Danio rerio: one gene and its partners. The protein of the gene in region 1 binds, or shares a complex with, the protein of each later gene. Links are inferred from orthologs where the notes say so. Each region holds a gene or a part of one and is shown in the gene's direction. Other genes may lie near its edges.

Evidence for each region.
Region 2: kat7b (region 1) and jade3 share a complex: the UniProt entries of both Homo sapiens proteins name them as parts of the HBO1 complex. The link is inferred for Danio rerio from reciprocal best matches to the Homo sapiens genes KAT7 and JADE3.
Region 3: kat7b (region 1) and jade2 share a complex: the UniProt entries of both Homo sapiens proteins name them as parts of the HBO1 complex. The link is inferred for Danio rerio from reciprocal best matches to the Homo sapiens genes KAT7 and JADE2.

What each region holds. Positions count from the first base shown.
Region 1 is NC_133187.1:6,540,146-6,545,562, reverse strand, and holds part of kat7b (histone acetyltransferase KAT7), read left to right. Parts: intron 1-1,900; coding exon 1,901-1,984; intron 1,985-2,273; coding exon 2,274-2,372; intron 2,373-4,496; coding exon 4,497-4,607; intron 4,608-5,417. UniProt on the Homo sapiens protein: Catalytic subunit of histone acetyltransferase HBO1 complexes, which specifically mediate acetylation of histone H3 at 'Lys-14' (H3K14ac), thereby regulating various processes, such as gene transcription, protein ubiquitination, immune regulation, stem cell pluripotent and self-renewal maintenance and embryonic development.
Region 2 is NC_133181.1:40,066,975-40,072,834, reverse strand, and holds the start of jade3 (protein Jade-3), read left to right. Parts: upstream 1-1,690; 5' UTR 1,691-1,829; intron 1,830-5,860. UniProt on the Homo sapiens protein: Scaffold subunit of some HBO1 complexes, which have a histone H4 acetyltransferase activity.
Region 3 is NC_133196.1:49,540,348-49,546,240, forward strand, and holds the start of jade2 (E3 ubiquitin-protein ligase Jade-2), read left to right. Parts: upstream 1-1,723; 5' UTR 1,724-2,384; intron 2,385-4,016; coding exon 4,017-4,080; intron 4,081-4,421; coding exon 4,422-4,507; intron 4,508-5,120; coding exon 5,121-5,278; intron 5,279-5,812; coding exon 5,813-5,893. UniProt on the Homo sapiens protein: Scaffold subunit of some HBO1 complexes, which have a histone H4 acetyltransferase activity. Acts as an E3 ubiquitin-protein ligase mediating the ubiquitination and subsequent proteasomal degradation of target protein histone demethylase KDM1A.

The sequences.
Region 1 (5,417 bases):
AAATTAAATTAAATTTTTTGATACATTTTTTAATAATAATGAAATTGGGCATTATTTTTGACGAAATATGTGCAAATTTGACTACATTTCTAGCACAAAGATCTGACCATCGAATAAAGTTGGGAAAAAATATTTTATTATATTTTTTTGGCATTAGAGTCAAAGGTTTTTAGGGGATTTATTTTAGGGGGTATTTATTTTTATCATTTCATAATTCAGAAAATACTTGAACCACTCAAAGTGTTTGTTTTATTTTTCTGATTTCTTTGTTGTAAAAAAGTTTTATATAATCAAGTTAATAATGTATGAGCATACCCCTCTATAAAACATTGCAGAAAACATATATATGAATAATATTGTAATTAGAGTCAGGGGCAAAATCATAGTTTATTTTGGCATTGGGGATTTTGAGTATATATTTTATCATTTCATATTTCATAAAATACTTCAAACACCCAAAAAAAAAACATTTATCTTCAAATTTATTTGTCGAAAAACCCTTTTTGTAGAAACCAGCAATTTATGTATGAACATACCTTTCAAAAATAAAATATTTGAATAATACTGTAGAGTCAGGGTCAAAATTATTGTTTCTTTTTATTGGCATTAGAGTCAAAGTTTTAAGAGAACTTTTGGTATATTTTTTGATCATTTTATAATTTAGAAAATACTTCAAACACTCAAATAGTTTATTTTAAGTTTTTCAAGTTTCTTTGTTGAATAATGTTTTAATCAAGTGAATTACGGAGGATTATACACCTTTGTAAAATCTTTCAGAAAACATGTATGTGTGTATATATATATATATATATATATATATATATATATATATATATATATATATATATATATATATATATATATATATATATATATATATATATATATAAATAAATAAATATATATATATATATATATATATATATATATATATATATATATATATATATATATATAAATAAATATATAAATAATACTGTAGAGTGGGGTATAATAATTTTTTTGGAATGAGAGTCAAAAGTTTTTTGGGGATTTTGGGTATAAATTTTAATAATTTTATAATTCAGGATTTTTTTTTTTTAAATTGTAAAAATTCTTTGTTGAAAAAAATTTTATATAATCAAGTTAATAATGTATGAACATAGTTCTAAAAAATCTTTCAGAAAACAAATATATAAATAATACTGGAAAGAAACTCAGGCAAAATTGTTTCTTTTTTGGCATTGAAGTCAAAAGTATTTTAGCGATTTTGGGTATATATTATCATTTCATATTTCATAAAATACTTCAAACACCCAAAGAATGTTTGTTCTTCGAATTTCTTTTATTTATATTTAAAGCAGTTTTATATAATCAAGCATATTATGTATAAAAGTACCCCTCTGTAAAACCTTTCAGGAAACATATATATATATGTCATATATATATATATATATATATATATATATATATATATATATATATATATATATATATATATATATATATATATATATATATATATATATATATATATATATGAATAATACTGTAAAGTATAAGTGAAGATTTGACTCATTTTTGTGAGAAAAAAAATCAATTTGTGAAACAATATAATTTTACAAAAATATTTATTGTAATTGCAGATACAAGTGTGATAAAAGACACATAAAAATCTGCACACTAGGTTCAAAAATACATAATCTCAGTCATTTACGGGTGTTTTTTAAAAAAAAGTGTCTTTGCCTGCAGTGGCTCACCTAAAATTGTACTTTTGGCACCCTTTTATATGAGTTTGAAAATATTTAAAACACCATTTTGGTTGCCCCCTAAATTTCAAAAAGCGTTACTTTGTCCTATTCTGAATTGTTAAACTCTTCCCTATTGTTTATCTTTGTGTGCTTCGTGTGGTCTCGATCAGGTGAAGGCTATCGAGCGTGAGAAACAAGATGAAGAGCGCAGTCAGGGGCAGAACGAGGAGAACAGGCACGCTACTCGACATCAGGTACTCGCCAAACAGATGTTCTCTTAACACTAAACAAACATCGCACAAGTGTGTTAATGTCTCTTAAGTGCATGCATGCTTTTGTACTAAAGCGAGATGTTTGCTTGAACGCCTAACGCCATCAGCTGGGTGCTTTTTATTTTTAGGATGGGTTGTGATTGTTTGCTAGCTATAAATCCTGCGGTGACTACAGTGCATGTGTGGCTGATGAGCTGACCTTGAAAGAGTTTTATCTGCATGAAGCAGTAAAAAGTGTGATGTAGTAGTCATTTGACCTGGTTTTCCACAGGCACCAACTCCAAGACAGGTCCGATATAAAGAGAAAGTCATTGAGATGAGGAAGAGGAGAGATTCTGGGCTGAGTAAAGACCAAAAGGAAAAGTACATGGTAATTGTGTGTTTTTTTTTTTTTTGTGATTACTGAAATATATTTCAGAGTGCATCTGTGTATACATGTAAGTGTGATTATTTCATACATTACACATCATGAAAACTTCACAGCATGAACAATAATATTTAAAAAAAAAATATATATATATAAATGAATTTCACTACATTTTAACAACAACAGCTCATACTTTTGCATTGAATGTCTCAGAACTGTCATGAGTGCAAGAGCAAATATTGGTAATATATTAATGCCATTATTATTAAAGAGATGGTTCACCCAGAAATGTTATTATTAGCCATGTTTTCATCCAAAGATGTGAATTAAATGTGCAAAACTGGACTATCGAATAAAACAATTGTGATTACATCACCGTTTCCATCTAAGACAAAATAGTCACTTCCTGATAAACTGGCGCCAAATAGTAAAAACAAGTTAACAGCCATGTAGTTTTGCTTAAGGCTCTTTCGTTTATTACGCAAAATAGTCCACGATTTGTCACATTCTTTTAGAATCTTCTCCGCTCGCACTGCTTGGAAAATTTGCGCACCCCCCCTTTTTATATCTGCAACTCATTTTTGTTATCACATGATCTGTTGAGGCAAAATTACGTGACTTTTTTTGATGCTGGAATTAATTCGGTAAATGCCCTTCATAATTTCCATCGTAGTTTATGCAAGTTTTTTTCTTATGGGATAAAAAGTTTGTTTCTCATTTTCAAAATTTATGCGCATCTTGTTGTTTCCATCCAGGGTTTTTATGCGATAATCAAAAATGTGCATAAACATAAGTGGATGGTAGGGGTGTAAGAAATCATAGCTGATTCGTACGGATCACAACCCATGGAACACTGTAGATTAAATTCTAAATATGTAACAATCGCGGAGAGATCACATCTCGCATCATTCAAATCGCGTGTATGAAAGGATTTATGTTTCCTGTAAAATATAATGATGACAGAAGAAGTTGTGGGAGGTTATTTGTGTGTGGTGGGTTTTTTAGGTTATTAAAAGTGTCTTCTGTCACTGCTTGTTTAGCCTGCATTAATGCATTCAGCATTGATTAATCATTAACATAAATTATAAATGATGGTGATTTGCATGTTTATTAATCCTTTGACTCGCTGCATTCAAATGTGTTTGAAAAATTCTAAAATCAAGAAAGAGATTCAGTCCTTAGTCTTTTGAGTTAGTTATGACCAGTCAAATAACAGAAATATTGGGAGAACAGTTATAGTTTAGATAAAACCACTGATGATTATGGTAAAGATTAAAATCGCCATCATATGCATTTAACTTGACGCTCAAAAATTAAAGTTGTAGGCAGCAATCACATTATTTGAACAATAGGTGGCGACAACCAGCCATCAAAATAAGCCACTGGATAATTCTTCAAAAGTGATGCATGAAAAAGTTTTATAGGTGAATAACTGAATCATTTATCGAAAATGAGATTAAAAATAAGTATGAGTTGTACAAGCTATAATGTTAGATTTATACATTGTGTTATCAGCATGTGGTGGAAACACTGAATTTTTCACAGTACAGTAATATTTTACAATTTATTTTAATTCAGCTGATTATTTCTGCGTTATATTTTTAGCATACTTACTGGTTCTACTTTTTGTTTTTTAAAACCAAAAGTGTCTTGCAGTACTGTTTTTGTTAAAAAAAATGAAAAAATGGAAAGGAAATTACATTTGTGTCTTCTCCGTTTTGAATGATCCGAAAAATGGTCCAATCCATGGCTAAAAAAAAGATAATGTGATCCGAACCATGAGATTTGTGATATATACTACACCACTAGTCGATAGAAAAGCAGCTACTGTTTCCTAGAGTGTTTTCTAACCTTAATGACACAAAAGAAAATACTTTGAATAACGCTGAAAACCTGTAACCATTGTCTTCCATAGTATTTGTTTTTGCTACTATGGAAGTTAATGGTTACTGTTTTTTTTTTTTTTTTCTAAATATATGTTGTGTTCAACAGAAGAAAGAAATTCACACAGGTTTGTGACAAGTGAATGATGATGAAATGTACAGTTTTGGGTGAACTATGTCTTTTAAACTGTATTGTTGTTGATGCTTATGTTTGTTATTCATTCACATCTTTAATTTGTATCAGGAGCACAGACAAACGCATGGAACCACTCGCGAACCATTGCTGGAGAACATCACCAGTGATTATGATCTGGAGCTCTTCAGAAAAGCTCAGGCTCGTGCATCAGAGGATCTGGTATGAACCGAAATACCTCACGCTTCACACAATTTTCTGACAATGCAGACCAGCTGATCAGAAAACTTGACTTCCTGTCAAATTGTAAACGAAATACAAAAATAAACCATTTAATTAACCCTTATAATTTATTTTTGCATAATGCATTTCACTAAAATCATATTCTGTCTGGTCTGCAACCTCTCATTAATGAGAAAAATGAAATGAAAATTGTTGAATGTTTATGATGTTGTTGCTCCGTTTACGGATATTTTTATTAACCACAAAGCAAAAAAAATAATAATTCAGATTCAAAACTGACCTGAATAAATTATGTTATACAATGTAGCTATGTAATGTGTAGATTATAACACTTTTTGATTCAGCAGCAATAACTATTCCGCTCGCTCACTGTGCACTTATTCAAAGCTGTTTGAGTTTCTTCCTTCTGTTTAACACAAAGACAATTTGAAGAATGTCGGTAACCATTTGCTATTAACATTTATATGAATTGTTTTCATACTATACTGTAGATGTCAATGGTTACCTGTTTCCTACATACTAATTTAAATAGCTTTTGCGTCCAGCAGAAGTAAGTAACTCCTAAATGCTTAGGAACATTCATAGTTTTATAGGAGAGTTTTATTGGAAGAAGGTTCAGAATCATCAGTTGTTCATCTAATAGATATAAATTTACCCTTTTTCCTGAAGCTATAAGGCTTTATTACCTTAAAAAAAGCATGTTTAATTTTATTTCTGTGTATATAATTAATGTTATTATATTTCTGAAGTTATTATGAAGCATGCTGGATTGTTTTTTTATTTATTTTT
Region 2 (5,860 bases), on another chromosome or scaffold:
GTTTTTTAGGGATGAATAATAACTGTGATTTGTCAATACAATCATACTGATCGAAAGTTGTCTCATCTTTTTTCCACATGCAAATAAGCACAACACTAAATGTGAATGTATTACGACAAATGCCAACTAGTGAATAGTTTTGTTAGTTGAGTACATATTTGCTCAGAGAAAGAGATTGTGAGTAACTGTAAGTGGTGTTGTGAAATGTTGTGGTTCTGAATTTTGACCGCATTGCTTTTATAATAATTTCTTTAATAATAATCTCTTTCTGTCAGTAAAAAGTATTCAAATATCATGTTTAAAAAAAACAAAAAGAGTTAGAGTAGTTGTCTGATTTGTTGAGCACAAAAAAGTTGTATTTTCTTCAGGGGTCCAATATAAACATCAGGGGACAGGTTGAAATTAATAGTTTAATTCTGGTAGGACAGATTTTTACCTTGCTGGTTATAAAAGAATCTTAAAAATGCACAATATTAATCATTAAATCAGTTTTCTACCGTGCTAAAAACAAGAAGTGTTATGTTATATAAAGCTATGTGTATAATACATTTATTTTAGTAAATTCCATGGAATGTTTGCTTTGGTATATATTGCAAAATGAGTCAAAATGAGATGCATTAAATGCGTTTCAAACCAATTTTGTGATTTATGTGATATAAAAAATATAGGTGAAATAATGTATTTAAATGTATTCAAATTATTTTTATTCTAAATATGACTGACAAGTTTGTTTGGTAGAAAAATATTTTCTTTTCTTTAAGTAGGTTTCTTTGGTGAATGACAGTTCACCAATGTAGCGTTGTATTATACACTATATATATATATATATATATATATATATATATATATATATATATATATATATATATATTTTACCCATATACTCATGACAGCTTTTATTTGGCCTACCATCTCATCTGAAAAGAGAATGATGAGGAGCATTGAAGAGAATATTTTTTACAGAGATTGTCATTTTAAATTTAAAGTAATCTTTTTGTCTGTTTTATAGCAATTTAAAATTAAGCATTTAAATTAAATGTTGACAAGGAATCAGGTTTATAATAATGTAAATACTGTCTCTTGTTGAATAGAGGACAATGCACATTGTGGGCAAATTGATGCAAAAGCTTGACTTGTGTTGTTATTTGCCATTGAACTCCATTGTGTAATCAATGGAATTGTTTTTACTGTAATACGTTCATTATATTTATATATATTATCTTTTAAATTATACTGCATTAGTTAATATAAAGCAATGTTTTCTATTTATATATATATATATATATATATATATATATATATATATATATATATATATATATATATATATATATATATTAGGAATATAAATTAGGAAAATACCCATGTTGACCTTAACTGTTTGCTATATTTATCTTCTGCCCACAGCCCTCAATCAAGTATAGTTTTGGGCCCTTTATGAGAAAAAGTGCTGTATTATATCGTAATAAATACTAATTTAGCTAAAATACTGTGACTTTAATCTAAATTCTAACGTTACCTCCATCACAGCACTGTAAGGGGACATTTAACTACCCCTGAAAAGAAATCTGCTTCCCCTGGCTGGGCAAGCAGTGGGGCCGTGAACGGGGCGGGCTCTAGGACCCAGCGTTTGGGTAGTACAATAGAGCTGTTGTGTCGTGGTGAAGAGGGTGATTTCTGCTTTTGGGATATTGACAGTGGGACAGAAACCAGAAAAATACGGAAAACACCGGTATTTACTGCACCTCAGCGCTGCTGACTTGAAGACAGCCTTGCGGAGTCTATCGGCGCTCACGATCGTCCTGAAGCACAGCATTTTTGGATGTTAGGTAAGGGTGCATCTCGAACAATACTGCTCGTGTCTTCACACAGGGCTCAGTGTGCCAGTTCTCCAGGCTGAGGGGCCTGCTGCCTCCTACCATTCCTCCGAGAAGCGTTTTACGTCCTCATTATTCAACTAGGACAGTGTTGGTATCAGCGATATAATTATGTTTAGGTTAAACATTGCGAACGCGCACTGAACGCGGTTATATACGCACAGTCAGTGGTAATATGTCAGCACAGAGGGGATTGTAGTGACTGGAGAGGGTTCGTCATGTAGGGCGGCTCGAGTTTGGCGCCAAGGCCGTCAGGAACCCTCGCGTGTTCAGCAATGGAGGCCAGCAGCGGTTCATGCTCACACATGGGCACAGTGCTGCTGTTTGTGAGACAGCTAAGCGCTTCTGTTTACCATCCGGTTCTTTATTTAACGTTAACTGTGTGAACTTCTAGAGTTGATCTGTGCATTCAGCACGAGTAACGTTATAAACCTGAACCTTAGTTTAAGAAAATTAAAAGTGGACATATTTCTCCTCGTTGCATCATGCTTTGGGTTTACAAACAGGCGACGTGATGTTTAAATTGTTTTCTTTTGCATGGTGTTTATTAAAGGTGCATAGTTTTGCTTATTCGCTAAAATGCGTCGCTTTTCGTTCTGCATATGGATCTTGTAATGAAGCAACTTTGTTTTTAAAGCATTGCATAATGTTTTTGTCTTTAATGTTCGGTAAAGTAGCGAAATGTGTGATTTAACTGATAAAAATGAGTATGATAATGGAGTGTACTTTGTAAAATGTAATTATAGATGACAAAACATGCATTAACCCTGACGGTGGTAGGCGCACGGTGCATTAGAAAGTTTGGAACGGAAGTGTAGTTGTTGGAATTCGGGAATGCCCTCCTTGAGCTTCCGTTCCCCCCACTGCTTCCCGCGAAATCCCTGACCGCAGGCTTAAACGTGTGTGCTACTCGTCGAGCGTTTTTTCAGCATTATAAATGGACATTAACTAGGTAACATTTTTATTAATAAACATGCAAATGTAAATAATGCTTTGAAAATACAAAGAAGGTGTCGGAGGCGCGTTTGATTCAGTGAGTCGAGTCGTTTGATTCATTTGAAAAAAGAATTGTTCAGTGACTCTAGGTGCCATCATGAACAAGCTCCTTAAACTCGCATATTTAGAATAATTCTGTTAAGTTTTTAGTAATTTATATTTGATTGTAGAAATAAAAGAACACACATATAAATGAATTTTACTCTCCTTCACTCCAAGAATAAATGTTATTGCCGTCTGTAGTTCCTCAAGAACCCCATACATCTGTCAAACCTTTTTATTGCACACAGTTATGTATTAATTTTTTCTTCATTGTAGCTTTAGTGTAGATTAAAGTTTAATATAGGCAAAAGAAACTCGTCACCTTGCAGCTAATGATGATTTGTGTGTGATGAATGAATTACCAGTGCTGTTTTAACACCTTCACACACAGTGTGTTCTTCATGAGGTTGTATCTGATTATAAAATACCATCACATGTACACGCCAACAGTGAGCAAGTGCATTGAAGCATCCTTCTCAATGTTCAGTAAATTCCTTCACAAAATATTTTTGTTGTTTCTTTTGGTTTAGTCTTGAAATTAATTCTAAAATTGTCGTTATTTTTACACATGCACTATCTTTTTGCTCTCATTCAGTCAGTCAGCTGGTCACCAATAGTTTTATTGTTATTTTCAATTTTTCTTAAGTCTTTCTGGTTTATTTAGTTTATGCACAATATTTTGTCATTTATTAATGCTTTCATTTTCATTCATACAAAGTTTACTCCAGCTACACTTCTCTTTTAAATAACAATACAAGCCATTTTGAAAGCTGGAGGAAGAACACTGCATGTTGACCTCACAATGTATTTAAATGCACAAATTCAACATTTAGCACATCCAAAACATTACATTTTGCAGTCTACTCCACTTTACTGTGATGCTGCAGTTCATCTAAATCAGGGATGTCCAAACTCGGTCCTAGAGGGCCGATGTCCTGCATAGCTTAGCTCCAACTTGCTTCAACACACCTTCCTGGAAGTTTCTAGTATAGTTAGAAAGAGCTTGATTAGCTGGTTCAGGTATGTTTATTCGGGGTTGGAATTTAAATATGTAAGACAGCGGCCCTCCAGGACTAAATTTGGACACCCTTGATCTAAATGATCGCACCATGACATGTCAGTCTTCTATTGGTCACACCTCTTCATACGATATAGACCATTTTGAGGGATGTAAACTCAAACAATGGTCCCAATGTATTTCCTGTTTCACATTTTAATTTTCCATAGCTTCTGAGAATCTAAAAAGAGCCACACATTGATAAATAATGTTATGGTAGCTGTTTACCATTGATATATGATTGTATTGCCTCTTATTACAGTTATAAAATAGTTTGATAGCAAGTAGGAAATGTTCATGGGCCAATAACATGACCACATTGAAATGGTCTGTAAGTTTGTAGGGAGTTCACCAAACTTAAACTTTGTAACATAGCAAGTTAAATAACTCCCACACTTGAATACATATAAATAAGTCAGAGAAACTATCTCTTAAGCACATCGAAAACTACATAATTGTTTAAAAATATTTCCTCACTAGCAAACACCACAACTAATCACCAGTGAATCTAAAAGAGCCGTTCACAATCACATACATTTGAAAGATATCAAGAACGTTTAAAGCACCCTTTGTGAAAAGAAAAGCTTTCTTTAAATTAATATCTTCTTCATGTAATCATAAATGGAAACAAAGAACAATTATTATTGAGAGTGTAGGAGTTGAGTTTAGATTCATAGGTCGTTTTTAGAGTGAATTTCTTGCAGAGTCAGTAAATGGGACAGTTTCCTGGCACACTAGGTCAGTGTGAGGTGGCTGTGGGGGTGAAGTAGATTTAGCTGGGCTGATCTGTTAGTGTTGGGGGTGTGGGGTGGTCTTGTCTGGGCCAAGCATTGTGCTTTATCTTGGTGCAATAGGAGTGGGGGTTGCTTTTTAAACTGTGAATTATCTTTTTTTTTTGTCCTGCCATTTTGTGCCAGAACACCTAGATAAGATAGTCGGCCATTTGAATAAATGTTGAATAATGTCATTGTTATTATTATTTTTTTCCGACTTAGTCCCTTTTGTCATCTTGGGTCGCCACAGCGGAATGAACCGGCAACTTATCCAGCACACATTTTACGCAGCGGATGGCCTTCCAGCCGCAACCCATCACTGGGAAACACTCATACACTCCCATTCTCACACTTACACTACGGACAATTTAGCCTACCCAATTCACCTGTACCGCATGTCTTTGGACTTGTGGGGGAAACCCACGTGAATGCGGGGAGAACATGCAAACTCCACACAGCAATGCCAACTAACCCAGCTGAGGCTCGAACCAGCGACCTTCTTGCTGTGAGGCGACAGCACTACCTACTGCGCCACCGCGTCACCCTATTATTATTATTACTATTATTATTATGATTATGAAATGAAATGCAGTTTAGGTCTGCTATTGCACTGCTGGTTAGACCTAAACTGCATTTCGTTGCATTGTACTTGTACATGTGTAATGACAATAAAGTTGAATCTAATCTAATCTAATTTGTAATTTAGTTTTTATTTCCAAAAATGAAAATATGCATTTTTTTTACAATTAGATAGAAAAATTATTTTAACAGCTATTACCCCATATATATCCCCCACCCCATTATATACACACCAGGAAACAGCGGATAACTGTAGTTTAGACCAAGCAAGTAAATAAATTACATTATAAATTAATTTGACTTTCATTTTATCAGATGAGGGATAAGTGATAATTTCCAGTTTAGCATGCTTGATGACAAATCTAGGTACAGTATTTCCAATAGTGAATGCAACCAGCGCTTAGAGAGATCGTGAGGGGGTTTTCTGATTAGCAGCTAACCAAAATTAAAGACCTTTGCATTTAAAGGGCACCTATGGTAAAAAATTTACTTTTCAAGCTGTTTGGACAGATCTGTGTGTTGGTATAGTGTATAGA
Region 3 (5,893 bases), on another chromosome or scaffold:
TTATTTCGCTTTTGGGATTCTAACAGTATTGATTAATCAGAAATAAATAAATGTGTATAAATGCAATAGTTAATGTCAGAATTATTCGCCCCCTAAGATTTTTTTCTTCCTTAAATATTTTTCAAATGATGTTGAACAGATTCAGGAAATGTTCACAGTATGTCTGATAATATTTGTTCTTTTGGAGAAAGTCTGATTTATTTTATTCCAGCGAGAATAAAAGCAGTTTTTAATTTTTTTTTTACATTTTAAGGACAAAATTATTAGCCTCTTTAAGATTTTTTTTGAACCATCGTTCTACAATGACTTGCCTAATTACCCTAACCTGCCCAGTTACCCTATAGCGAAGCCTTTACATGTCACTTTAAGCTGAACACTAGTGTCTAGAAGAATATCTAGTCTAATATTATTTACTGTCATCATGACAGAGAGAAAATAAATCAGCTATAAGAGATGAGTTATTAACATCATTATGATTAGAAATGTGTTGGAGAAATCTGCTCTCCATTTATCAGAAATTGGGGGAAAAAATAAACAAGCGGTCTAATAATTCTGACTTCAACTGTGTATATAAATAAAACTTACTTAAATACAAAATGTGTAAAATGTCCACAAACCCAGAAAAAATTAAGCTGTAAAAATGGCCTTAAACTGGTGTATTTGAAGCATACTACAGTGAAGAGCTCGCATTTCTCAGTCATCAGTCTATAAAAACACAACTATGATCACATGAACAAATGACCCAATACTGTAGTTATCAGCAACTATAATAAACACCACAGGTTACTAGTCAATACTACAGTATGCTGGAGCATTCAATAGCAAAGTTGTAAATAATATAATATACACACTTTACTACAGTATGGTTCATAAACATCAGCGTTTACTATAACGTACTATAGTATTGTATTGACGTATACCTATAGTGTGCTAAATGTTGAAAGTTTACAAACCCAGGAAAACATATTAATCTGTAAAAGCAGAAGTCTAAAACATCCCAAATATCAAAAATAGCACACTACAGTAAAGCACTTGAGTTGATCTGCTGTAGTGGTTAACACAACTATAGTAAACACTGTAGTTTACTACAACTATAGGGTGGAGAATAGAAGGGATACAGCTGCAGATACACACATCAATATAGAATCTTCTCTGTGACACTGTACAATATTTCATAATTTTACATGACTGTGAGGATTGGGGTAGACTTTAAAAGTTACATTAACTGGGCAGTTTAATAATTTAATTCTCCTGATCTTTCAGCGATATCTGAATCTCATCTAGCAACAACCCAACTATAAACTACAATACACCAGTTTACTGCAGTAATCAGGTAACTAATACAGTATGCTGGAACATTCATTTAACAAAGGGTTGTAAATAATATTTAAACCATCCCTAATGTAAAAATAGACCAGTGTTTCATAGTTTAAAAACTATATTTTTGAACAGCTAAAGTGTTTGAACTAAACACTGTGATGATTCCTATCTAGTTGCTATGATAACTATAGTATTATAAACAAATGACCTAATACAGTAGTTTTCTCAGCAGCTGTAGTGTGGGTAAGGTGTAGTAAAACTATACAGTATACAGTAGTCTATCAGTTCACTATGCTACAGTATGCAGGAGCGTTCATTAACAGAGCTGTAATACTATAATATACACACTTTACTACAGTATGGTTCTAAAACACTGTAGATGGCCATATCTGGAGACGCTGATGGTGTGTGTGTGTGTGTGTGTGTGAGAGATCCGGAACAGCGCTGACAGTGAGGATGTTTGTTGTGTTTCCTCCTCTCGGCTGTTTGTTCATGGCTCCCCCCATCGGATTCACAGTAAAATGGTCGATTATTTTCGCGAACCGCCCCGCGCGCTCGCTTGAGGAGACTTTCTTCTTCACGCTCGCGTCTTGATGGACATTTTCAAACTTGACAGGTAAACGCAACGCGCTTTTTCGCCCGTTTCCCCCCGCTCGCCGTGCGTGACGCTCGCTCGCAACGCTCGGCTCCTGCGCCCGCTGCTAACGGAAATTTTTTGGTACGTCATTAATATGGCGCCAAAAGAGTTGTAAGTGTGAGCTGGTGTTTCGCGCAGGAATACACGCAGAATGTGAAGAGGAGCGCGCTTGTGTGTCGACAGCTTCACTTCGCAGGATGTGAGGACACCAGAAACAGTTTTGCGGATGACGAAGCGTGCTGTGCTGTTTTCTGAAGCGGCAGTTTTAGGACGGCTGTAATATGCCGTCGGCTCGGGCATCTCAGCCGCACACAGTAACTTTTATCGGGGCCGAGGAGGGTGCGTGGCCTCGGATGATCCTCTGATCTCTGCGAGGACACCATCATCATCTTCATCATCACCATCACACCCTCTCTCCGCAGAAGAGGTAAAGCCGAAAAAATGTGCCTTTTCTGCAGTTTTTGACCGTTGTTTCATGCTCATGTCGGTCGTTTGCTGCCTGAATTCTGTCTGCTTGTACGGGCTCGTTCGCGGTTTATTTGTTTGCTGAACTCTTCAGTCTGTGTGGAGTACTGCTGCTGCTGCTGCTCAACTTCTCAGCTTGGAGTGAGCGAGTGGCCTAAACGCGCTTCACAAACAAGCCCTGCAGGTCAGCGACCACGCCCCCTTCAGCTGCACACGGCGGCTTGACGTCACACACACGGGGCGTGGTCTAGAAAACGTGTAGTATTTTTTACATTATTATTATTATTATTATTATTATTTTTATTATTATTATTTTGTCTTTAAATGTTTGTGAGCCACACTGAAAACAAAACTAACCATAATTATTTTGTTAGCTCACATTGCTAGTCTTTGGGTGAACAATTCATCTGCATGTCATTAAGAAAAACATGTAATCTAAAATTGAAATATGCAAATGCACTACCTGTTTGTTTTCAGTTAAATTCTAAGATTAGGTCTGTTTGAGGTATCGGGCGGGGCTTGCATACTTAACCACGCCCCCAGCGGTCAGTTTTGGCAACGGAAATGGTGAGGAGGAGGAGTCTGTTAGGTTGTAATAACTCTCCCCAAATCCTTTACTACAGCCAATCAGGTCGCAGTATAAAAATCAAGCCACGCCCACTATTTTCTCATTTAATATTCAGTTTGTCTAGGAATTGCTTCACAATGCGAAAAATGATTGCAGCTTCTGGTTTATGAGAACTTTAAAAGTCCTGTGAATTGTTTTGAAATGTGCATTTTTTATTCAATGAAAGTAAATGAGAAGAGTCTTCAGGAATGTGCACAGGTGGGGCTCTGTGTGCTTGAGCACCTGATCTTTTTTCTCAAGGAGGAAAAAATGCCCCTCAAAATGAATGAATGAGTGTGTTTGTGTGTGTGCGTGAGTGTGTGTGTGTGTGAGTCTGTGAGTGTGTGTCTGTCCGTCATCATAATGCTTCACTATTATTCTACTATTATTATTCCCTCCAGAACTGTCTTGAGCATCTGTCTGCTGCAGGTTTGCTTTAAATGAGCAGCCAGCAACAGCAAAGCAGACACATTTCAAAATAAGAGTGCTTGTGTATTTTAGACTATTATTTTACACATATAAATCTAGTGGCGATGCAGTGGCGCAGTAGGTAATGCTGTTGCCTCACAACAAGAAGGATGTGGGTTCGAGCCCCGACTGGGTCAGTTGGTGTTTCTGTGTGGAGTTTGCATGTTCTCCATGTGTTATCATGGGTTTCCTCTGGGTGCTTCGGTTTCCCCCACAGTCCAAACACATGCAGCAGACAGTGTGTCTGGGTGTTTCACAGAGATGGGTTGCAGCTGTAAGTGAATCCGCTGTGTAAAACATGTGCTGGATAAGTTGGCGGTTCATTCCGCTGTGGCGACCCCTGATGAATAAAGGGACTAATCTGAAAAGAAAATGAATGAATGAATATAAATCTAGTGCACACATCAATCTGTCAAAATTGGGTGAACTATTTCCTGCTGTCACACTGTTTCCAGTAAAGCTATCAACACACACACACACACACACACGTTCATGAGTGTGATCCTCTTGTCCTGACAGATGGAGAGTGAGATGAAGAGGAGGAAATACTCCACCAGCAGCAACGACTCTGACACCACTGACAGTGAGTAATGCTGACACACACACACACACACACACACACACACACACACACACACAGACACACACGCTCAAACATAAGCACAAAAAAACACAAGCACCTACACGCACACACACAGATACACACAGACAAGCACACACACACACACACACACACACACACACATACACAAACACACACACGCACTGATCACACAAGAGACACAAGAGACACACGGACAAGCAGACACAGATACACACTGACAAACACACACACACACACACGCACACATTGATCACACACAAGGACAAGCACACGCACACACACTCCTCTAAAGCGAGAATGGTACCTGTGTGTTTCTGCAGGTCAGGTGACCACCTGGTCCCGCTCCTCTAAGAACACTGGCACCAGCAGCACGTGGGTCCGTCATGAGCAGAAGAGGCCGTCTGAGGTGAGAACCGGCCAATCAGATCGCCAGAAAGACAGCAGCAGTTCTTAAATTAATGGACATGAAGCGTTTAACGCTCATCAGCATCTTCAGTTCCTGAAAGTGTTTAATATTTAGAGTATAAAACACATATGAAGCGGTGGCGCAGTAGGCAGTGCTGTTGCCTCACAGCAAAAAGGTCTCTGGTTTGAGCCTCGGATGGGTCAGTTGGTGTTTCTGTGTGGAGTTTGCATGTTCTCCCCGTGTTGGCGTGGATTTCCTCCGGGTGCTCCGGTTTCCCAAACACATGCGCTATAGGGGAATTGGGTGAGCTAAATTGTCTATAGTGTAGGTGTGTGAATGAGTGTGTGTGGATGTTTTCCAGAGATGGGTTGCAGCTGGAAGGGCATCCACTGTGCAAAACATATGCTGGATAAGTTGGCAGTTCATTCCGCTGTGGAATGAGGGAGAGCATGCAAACTCCACACAGAAACGCCAACTGACCCAGCCGAGGCTCAAACCAGCGACCTTCTTGCTGTGAGGCGACAGCACTACCTACTGCGCCACCGTATCGCCTACTTCAGAAATCATTCAGTGGAAACAAGATAGATGTGCTTGAGTTGTGTTCTTCTTTCAGGTGTTTCGGACAGACTTTATCACAGCCATGAAGTTGCCGGATTCAGCACAGCTGAGCGCAGACGAGTTCTACATTCTGTGCGACCCCTGGAGGCAGGAGTGGGAGAAGGGCGTTCAGGTGCCAGCCAACGTGGAGACCATTCCTGAGCCTGTGGTCCGGTGAGATCCTAAACAGCCAATCACATGCCAGCACACGGCACACCATCACATGTCAGCCTACAGCAACCAATCACACTCCGGCTCACAGCAGCCAATCACACTCCGGCTCACAGCAACCAATCACACTCCAGCTCACATCAACCAATCACACTCCAGCTCACATCAACCAATCACACTCCGGCTCACAGCAGCCAATTACACTCCAGCTCACAGCAACCAATCACACTCTGGCTCACAGCAACCAATCACACTCCGGCTCACAACAACCAATCACACTCCAGCTCACAGCATCCAATCACACAGCATCCAATCACATGCCGGCTCACAGCAACCAATCACACAGCATCCAATCACATGCCGGCTCACAGCAGCCAATCACACAGCAGCCATTCACATGCCGGCTTACAGCAACCAATCACACACTGGCTCACACCAGCCAATCACACGCCGGCTCAGAGCAGCCATTTAAACAGCAGCCAATCACACTGCATGTAGTGTTTGTTAGGTCAGTGTTTGGTGTTTGTCGTCCCCCAGAATGCTCCCGGAGGTCAGCCGAATCCCGTTCTTCTCTGCGGTGCAAACGCGGAGCCAGTCGGAGATCTCTGAGCCTCTGAG